Linked DNA regions of Mus musculus. The protein of the gene in region 1 purifies or fractionates together with the protein of each later gene. This does not show direct contact. Links are inferred from orthologs where the notes say so. Each region holds a gene or a part of one and is shown in the gene's direction. Other genes may lie near its edges.

The links. Proteins that work in one complex are often made in the same cells at the same time.
Region 2: the proteins of Ppp2r2c (region 1) and Cct7 purify together in Homo sapiens (affinity purification with mass spectrometry; 4 studies listed by BioGRID and IntAct, counting the BioPlex papers as one, with this or other methods). This does not show direct contact. The link is inferred for Mus musculus from reciprocal best matches to the Homo sapiens genes PPP2R2C and CCT7.

Annotation. Positions count from the first base shown.
Region 1 is NC_000071.6:36,923,929-36,927,535, forward strand, and holds part of Ppp2r2c (serine/threonine-protein phosphatase 2A 55 kDa regulatory subunit B gamma isoform), read left to right. Parts: intron 1-2,356; coding exon 2,357-2,522; intron 2,523-3,602; coding exon 3,603-3,607. UniProt on the Homo sapiens protein: The B regulatory subunit might modulate substrate selectivity and catalytic activity, and might also direct the localization of the catalytic enzyme to a particular subcellular compartment.
Region 2 is NC_000072.6:85,449,950-85,454,356, forward strand, and holds the start of Cct7 (T-complex protein 1 subunit eta), read left to right. Parts: upstream 1-1,555; 5' UTR 1,556-2,172; coding exon 2,173-2,178; intron 2,179-4,407. Other genes in the region: Pradc1 (protease-associated domain-containing protein 1 isoform b precursor), read right to left, coding at 1,164-1,230. UniProt on the Homo sapiens protein: Component of the chaperonin-containing T-complex (TRiC), a molecular chaperone complex that assists the folding of actin, tubulin and other proteins upon ATP hydrolysis.

The DNA of each region.
Region 1 (3,607 bases):
TTACAGACAGATCAATCAGCAGCAAGCCCCGTGGGAACCTGCTGGGTTCTTGGCTGTGTTCTGTCACCCTAGCAGGGGGGCCTCTCAATCACTGAATGTGTTGGGGGATGAGGAACCAGGGAAGGGAGAGGCTCAAGGGAGGCAGGGTCAGGCGAGGAGCTGAAGCCTCCTTCACCCCTCCAGGGTGAGGTCCCCTTGCTGCCTTAGCTCATACGGACCCCTCATCCCCACCCCACCACACAGAGAGCTGCTGTTACCCTTCATCTGACAGCTGAAGAACTGCAGCATAGAGGGCTTAAAATAGCTCGCCAAGGGCAGGCCAGGGACAGCCTGGTGCACACAGGTGTCACAAAACCAAACTGTCCCACCAGGGCACACCAGAGTCAGCCATCATTCTGCCCACTGCAGAGAGAAAGGAGCTCAGAGGTCCTGGCTTTTCTCCATTAGTCTGTCTCTCCCTCTCTTCCTGCTGACCTTTTTCACGACTAGGGCTCATGGGAAGAGGAGGCGAAAACGTGGAAGGATTTTCAAATAGATCCTAACTCAAGACAGAGACGGGGACCTAAAAATAGGCACTTTCAAAACGAGCAGAAAACCCGAAGCTGTGCTTGGCTGGGCCATCTTCACTCGTTCCCAGCTGTGATCTTGTGTTGTCATAGAAACTTGACTTGTCTGCTAGAAAAGTGGTCCCAGTATTTATGGCAGGTTCAGCACTCAGCTTTTGGAGGTCTCCACCAAGAGGGGGTACATAGGAACTCTGCTACCCAAACTGGGGTGGGAGCCACCGTGAGAAGCAGGGTTAAGACCTGACTAATGAGGATGGATAGAGGCTCAGCATTGGCATCTGACCTCAGCGGGGTGAATGGTGGCCACTTTGTGGAAACATGGGGAGACCCATGGTCTCACAAGTATGAGGACCTAAATTTAGTTCCCCAGAACCCACATGAAAATACGAGTGCCTGTGATCCCACTTTTGGGGAGGGTGGGGACAGGAAGATCTCCAAGGCTTGCTAGCCTAACTGGTGAGATCCAGGACAATGAGAGGCCCTGCCTCAAAGAGGGTGGGCAGTGTTTCTGAGGATGATACTAAGCTTGTCCCTTGTCCCTTGTGTGTGCATGTTCACACACATGTTTGCACACCTGCATATACACCTGCAAACCCTCGTCCACACACACAAATCTCTGGGCACACATCTGCATACCCTTTGTATACAATGCATACACTTTAGCACATATCCACATACACCCTGTATATACACACCTATGTACAAAAATACCCAGGTACACATGCATACACACCTGCACACATTTATATCCCTGTATACATACAAACTTGCACAAACACACACACACCTATACAAAACTGTGCACACACCTCTCTGTGCACATGCACACACACACACACACACACACACACACACATACACACTTCCCAATCTCCCACCTTCTGCTTGCATACATATACCCCCTGCATGTACCCATACCCTCCCTGTACCATACTGTCTTAGTCAGGGTTTCTATTCCTGCACAAACATCAGGACCAAGAAGCAAGTTGGGGAGGAAAGAGTTTATTTGGCTTACACTTCCATACTGTTGTTCATCACCAAGGAAATCAGGACTGGAACTCAAGCAGGTCAGAAAGCAGGAGCTGATGCAGAGGCCATGGAGGGATGTTCTTTACTGCCTTGCTTCCCCTGGCTTGCTCAGCCTGCTCTCTTATAGAACCAAGATTACCAGCCCAGAGATGGTCCCACCTACAAGAGGCCTTTCCCCCTTGATCACTAATTGAGAAATGCCTTACAGCTGGATCTCATGGAGGCATTTCCTCAACTGAAGCTCCTTTCTCTGTGATAACTCCAGCTGTGTCAAGTTGACACAAAACTAGCCAGTACACATACCTACACACACACACACACACACACACACACACACACACACTTTGATACCCACTACTTGCACACACATACCCCTGCATATACCCACACTCTCTCTGTGTACATGCCTACACACACACCTGTGGAACATACACACTTGCACACACATACCTGCACATACCTCTACACACACATACACACACACACACACACACACACACACACACTTTCCAATCTCCCACCTTCTGCTTGCATACATATACCCCCTGCATGTACCCACACCCTCCCTGTACCATACCTACACACACATACACATACACACACACACACATCCCTGTACACACATGTACACGGTATCAGTAGTTTCCTTTGCTGATGCTGATGGTACACATATTGCAACACGTGTTCAGCCCCTTCTCACGCCTGCCTCCCTCTTCCATGGGCACTCCTTCGGCTCAGTCTGCCTTTGGGTTTCCCTGCAGAGTAAGAACGCACCTCACAGCCAGGGTGAGTACGATGTATACAGCACCTTCCAGAGCCACGAGCCGGAGTTTGACTACCTGAAGAGCCTGGAGATAGAGGAGAAAATCAACAAGATCAAATGGCTCCCGCAGCAGAACGCCGCGCACTCGCTGCTGTCCACCAATGGTGAGGCCCCGCGGGTGTGGCTGTCCTGACTCACTCAGCCTTCCAGGTTTCTCTGTGGTTTTAGTGACAACCAGGCCACCCTTCAGCTTTCCCTGACTGGTCACAAATCTCCCACCCTTGTAGATATAATGGGCATGGAGGGCTCCAAGGTGGAGACGAGATTGAATACTTCAAACACCAAGGACACCAGCTTTACTGCTCATTTCTACCCTGTCCTCACAGAAGGCTGCACCCCTATTGAGGGCCCCATTTGAAAGCAGTTTTCCCTCTAGCTTCTTCCCATGTTCACAGCGTTGTTGGTTTTGACTGCGGATGTTATCGGGGATCCTCTGGGGAAGCCAGGTGTGTGGGGGAGAGACCAAGAGAGGAGAGAGGGGGAGGTGGAGATGGAGAGGACCTGTGATTCTGACCCCTGCGATTGTGAGGCCAGAAGCTCACAGCTCAAGCCTGGAGGGCGTGTGCTGGCAGAATCCCCTCCTCCCAAGGAGGTAGGCTTTCATTCTGTCAGCGCCTTCAGCCAATGATATGAGGTCTACCATCTCCTGATGGCAGGTTATCTGCTTATGGATTTAAATTTTAATTAATTCTAAAGGATCCTTCATAAAAGAGCCAGTGTGTTCTGAACAATGTCTGTGTCACAGCCAAGGTGAGCCATAAAATTATCGCCACTGATTCTTCCTCCTGTGACGTCCAAGGAAGGAGTACGGGGGAGAGGCTCCGGGAGCTGGCTTCTGGGTGGCAAGTACCACTGAATTAGGAATGGCAGAGTGGCCACCTTCTTCTCAGGAAGGGACAGTGGTACATGCTCAGTGTAGAGGTCAGTAGTGACCCTTGCAAGGGGCATGCTTTTTGACCTAGTAACATCCCCTGCCAGTGAGTAGAAGATGCAGCAGAAACAGATTGCCCATATTCAGAGGTATTCTACACAAGGCACAGTGAGGGGGGAGAGGGACATGGATGGTCATTTCCAGGGTGGTGGCCCCAGGACACACATCACTGTCCCTCTAGCTAGAGTGGGTATTCTCTTCCTGGCCTGGCTGTTGACAGAATACCTTGTTCTTCCCTGATCTGTCCTTAAAGATAAA
Region 2 (4,407 bases), on another chromosome or scaffold:
CTCAGAAAGATGCTGCCTTATCCTTCCTCCACCCATTCAAAATATACTTTCTCCCAGCTAATACTTCCTCTGTAATTATGGTGGATTCATAATATTCTATGTCAGCTTCTTTCATCGCAGCAGTGATTCTAAGTATGTGGCTTTTTAAAAAAGACTTATTTATTTTATGTGAATACACGGTCTCTCTCTCTTCAGACACACCAGAAGAGGGCATCAGATCCCCATTACAAATGGTTGTGAGCCACCATGTGGTTGCTGGGACTTGAACTCAGGACCTCTGGAAGAGCAGTCAGTGCTCTTAACCACTGAACCACCTCTCCAGCCTTAAGTATGTGGCTTTATACAGAGATGAATCTCCAGTGCCTAGGACACAGTGGCTGCTCAGTAAAGGTTACTAAACAAAGAACTCTGCCCAGCTCTGCTGTCCTGAACAAGAGAATGGCCAAAAAAACCACGAGAGCTTTGCTAGGATATTTTTTCTCAGTTGGATTTGAGTCCCTGGATTCTTTAAACTTGCCAGAAAGGCAAGTAAATGTTGATGGATGGAAGCTCAGGTCTGTTAGTCAATCCAATTGCTGTGTCTATAATTGATCCTGTCTATGGTCCAAATTACAGCTCAGACAGAGCTAAGGGGGCTTGCAGCTTTTTGTCCTGAGTGTAGGTACACTTCATCAGATGGATAACCCCCCCCCCCCCCCAGGAAGCCTTCTGGATTAACACCAGGCAACCCTTTCCACAAGCACACCCCTGTCTGGCATTTGATGTGCTTATCTAATAAGCTTCGGGTATATGCATGTGTTCACTTAACGCGTAGGTGTGTACATTTATGTTCGAGTTGTGTAAGTGGGTGCCTGTGCGTGTGAGCCCATATGTGTGTTCCTGCCTATAAGAACGCTCACATCCTCCGTTCTGGATCTCTAGCTGTCACCAGGGTCGCCTTCAGTGGGAGGAAAGCTGAAAGCTCTTGTTTCGACGGGGAGGGGTGGGGTTGTCAGGTTGTGCCTACTCACTGACCCGGGAACCAGCATCCACCCGCTGCAGCCGTCTAGTCCCTGGATCTGGGCGGCCCAAACTCGCGGGGTCCCCAAGGTGACCCGTGGCCCCCAGCCCGGGAAGCGCGCACGCTGGATTCCCGCCCCGCCCGCCTGTCCGTCGCCGCTCACCGTGGGCCGCGACGCACGTGGGCAGCCAGAGCACGAGACAGCACCAGCCCGCGGCGCCACGGCTCATCTCCAGGGCCCGTCCCGCCGCCGCCGCCGCCGCCGTCCCGCCGCGATCCCTCGCCCGACTTTAGCCTGACAGCTGCCACGGCCTCCCTCAGGCCCGCTCTCCGCGCCGGTTGGAGCACAGAACGGAGGCCAGCGGCTGATTGGCCGCCACGCCTGTTCGTGTGGCCGCACTTTCCTCCTCTGCGCCCTAGGCCACTTCCTATTGGCCAGGAGAAGTGGAACCGGGCGCTGATTGGCCAAAACTCTTAATAGCAACTGCAGTTCGCGGCCCCGCCCCCGCACTCCTCCTTATAGACGCGCCTCCCGGAACCTGCGGTGGGCGGCTCGCGGGGTTGCGCGGGATCCACGGCTCTCCTCCCCAGGCAGAGACGGGCCTCGCGCGAAGGGGCAGGCGGCACGGCGCCGCCTCGGCCGATAAGGGGCGCTACAGAGCTAGAAGCCGACCCGAGCAAATTTCCTGCGCCCGAGCGGGCCGCGCACCTGTGACCCGGGACACTGTTCCCAACTTCCCAAGCTACCTGTGAAACTCACGGAGCTCCCTCGCCACGGAGCTGAGCAGGTGCAGTGAGATCACTCACCTAAGGTGCTTCTCCTAGCCGGTGTTCAGTACTGATAGCTCATTGCACGTCTACCATGGCGTCTGGGAGCGCGGGCTGAGGCGGGACCTTACCGCACCTTACAAACCAAAAGCACTGCGAGACTCGATGACCCCCGCCAAAGCTAACGCGAGTTCCTAGAGCGTCCCTGGACCTCCGACTCCTCTAGCCGGCTACCTCGGGAGCTAACCATAGAGTGGCGGAAGTGGTCCGGCCCCTTCCTCTCCCGGGCTAACGTCTCGCCAGAAGCTTCTGGGCATTTCTCCGGCGCGGAGCATTGTGGGCTTGGGTGGGCGGCCCCGAGGCGGACAACTGACGAGTTGCGGGTACCTGAAGCCGCTTCCAAGATGATGGTGAGTGTCTCTCCGCGCATCCGCTGCCATCCACGACCCTGCGGCCCTGGCCCGCCATGCGGAGTGTCTACAGTGGCTCGTTTCCGCTCCCCGGCCGGAGGCGGCCTTGATCCAAAACTGAAGCTGTTGGCGAGAGCCGAATGGGGCTCGCGATGCCGCTGGGCCTGGAAACCATGGATCTCATGGTGCTTGGGACCACAGACCTCTTGTTCAGCCTGTTCCCCGTAATGGAGGCTTGGGTTTTCGGAACCGAGTGTGTGTTGAGCTCTGTACCTCTACCATAAGGCCGGGTTACATCGCCCTGGGAGGTGCGGAAGTGAAGGCGCGAGCTTCTAGGCGCACAGAGGCAGCGTGAGGGTCTTTAGGTTGGGCCAAGTGACGCCCTGCCTGGCATTGTGGTCGTTTACGTTCCCGCATGTGGAAAGACAGAATCCTTCGTTCCTGTTGGAACCTGTTCGTTGGGGGCATTTTTAGTTCTCCCGAATGTACTTGGTGCTGGAAAAGGGCAATTGATGTACACAGTACCAAAGATGGGACGACCTGAGTACTTTAGGCAGGAGAGTCTCTTAAAGGTCTGCCTGTAATCCTCCTGCATCACCCTTTATCCCCGACAGCGTCAGATACCTCCCCTGTTCCCCTGTGATAAACCTGAGTTGTTAGTGAGCAATGTCAACTTCCAAGACAGAATCCTGTGCGTTTGGCATCAGCACACTCGTTAAGTTTTGCTTTTTAGTGTCAATCCTTTGTCTGCCTTTTGCAGCTTCTTCCTATGCGTAGATGCCAGACAGACTTGGAAACCTGTAAGGTCCTCCCTCTGCTACCAAATTACAGCTTCTCCTCCGAAGGAGTCCCTACAGAAGCATGTCCATGCTCCCTGACCCCTAGCGCTTGAAATTGATTTGGTCGGCGAAGACCAGAGCTGAGGCATAAATCCATGAGTCATATGTGCTGCAGTAAAATATGCATCATTGCTGCTGATATGACCAGTGGCCCAGCATTGGCCAAAACAAGTAGCAAACCTTTTATCAAAGGGTCCCAGACCATCACATTTGGGTTTTACCTAAATTGATGATTCTTGTTTCTGCTGCTGTGCTGCATACTTACAGCTTATGAGCTGCTGGTGACTCTTGTTTCCTCCCATCTTGCTGTAGCAGTTCTGGGATTACAGATATATACCACAATGACAGACTTGTAATGAGTTCTGGTGCTTAGGCTTATGCATCTAGCAGCTTTACCCCTGAGCCACTTCCAGGGCCTCCTCCAACTAATTGTTTAATAGATAGTATTGACTTTTGTTTTATTTAGTGTATGTGGGTGTTATGACTACTGTGTGCCTGGTTACTATGTACATGTAATGCCCATGGAGGTGTCAGATCTCTGGAACTAGAGTTACAGATGTGGTGACCCACCTTGTGGATGCTAGGAGTGGAGGGAACCCCAGTTCTGGAAGAGCAGCCAGTGTTGTAAGAGATTCTTCCAGTCAGTCCCTTAAACGATCTAAGGAAAATGGAGAGGAAGATTAAGACGAAACACTAAAGCCTTTTATGGTTCTAAGGGTACTAAGCCCTTGTGAAGGAACAAGAAGAGTGAGGTGGAAAGTAAGGAATGGTTCTAGGCAGTACTATTGCCAAAGAATGGCAGAAGGGGACCTACCTTGTAACCATAGCTTGGCTTACTGTACTGCTGCCAGCCTTATTTTCCCTGTGGCTGGCCTTGATATCACAGCAGTCCTCCTGCCTCCACCTCCCAAGCACGCACTGGGATCATAGCTGTGCACAGCCATGCCTGGCTTTAGATCAGTGGTTCTCAACCTTCCTAATACTGAAACCCTTTTATATAGTTCCTTGTGTTGTGGTGACCCCCAACCATAAAATCATTGCATTGTTGCTTCATGACTAATTTTCTGTTGTTATGAGTTGTAACATAAATACCAGTGTCTCCATGCCTGTTAAAGGGCCATTTGACTCTAAAAGTGTCACAACACACAGGCTGAGAACCACCGCTCTTGACTGTCCTAAGGTTTGTTCCAGAAGGACCATGAGACTGTGGGACCTTTGGGAAAGCATTTTCCTTCTAGATGGAACTAAGGAGTGCCCCCCAAAATGCTGAGAGTATAGAGAAGCCCTTTCTTGTCACGAGACCCTGGATACTCTGGGAAAAGGAAGGTATTTACTCTTCAGTATATGCCTGACACTGATAGAGGGGAGTTTCCTGACCAGCATTCTTTTC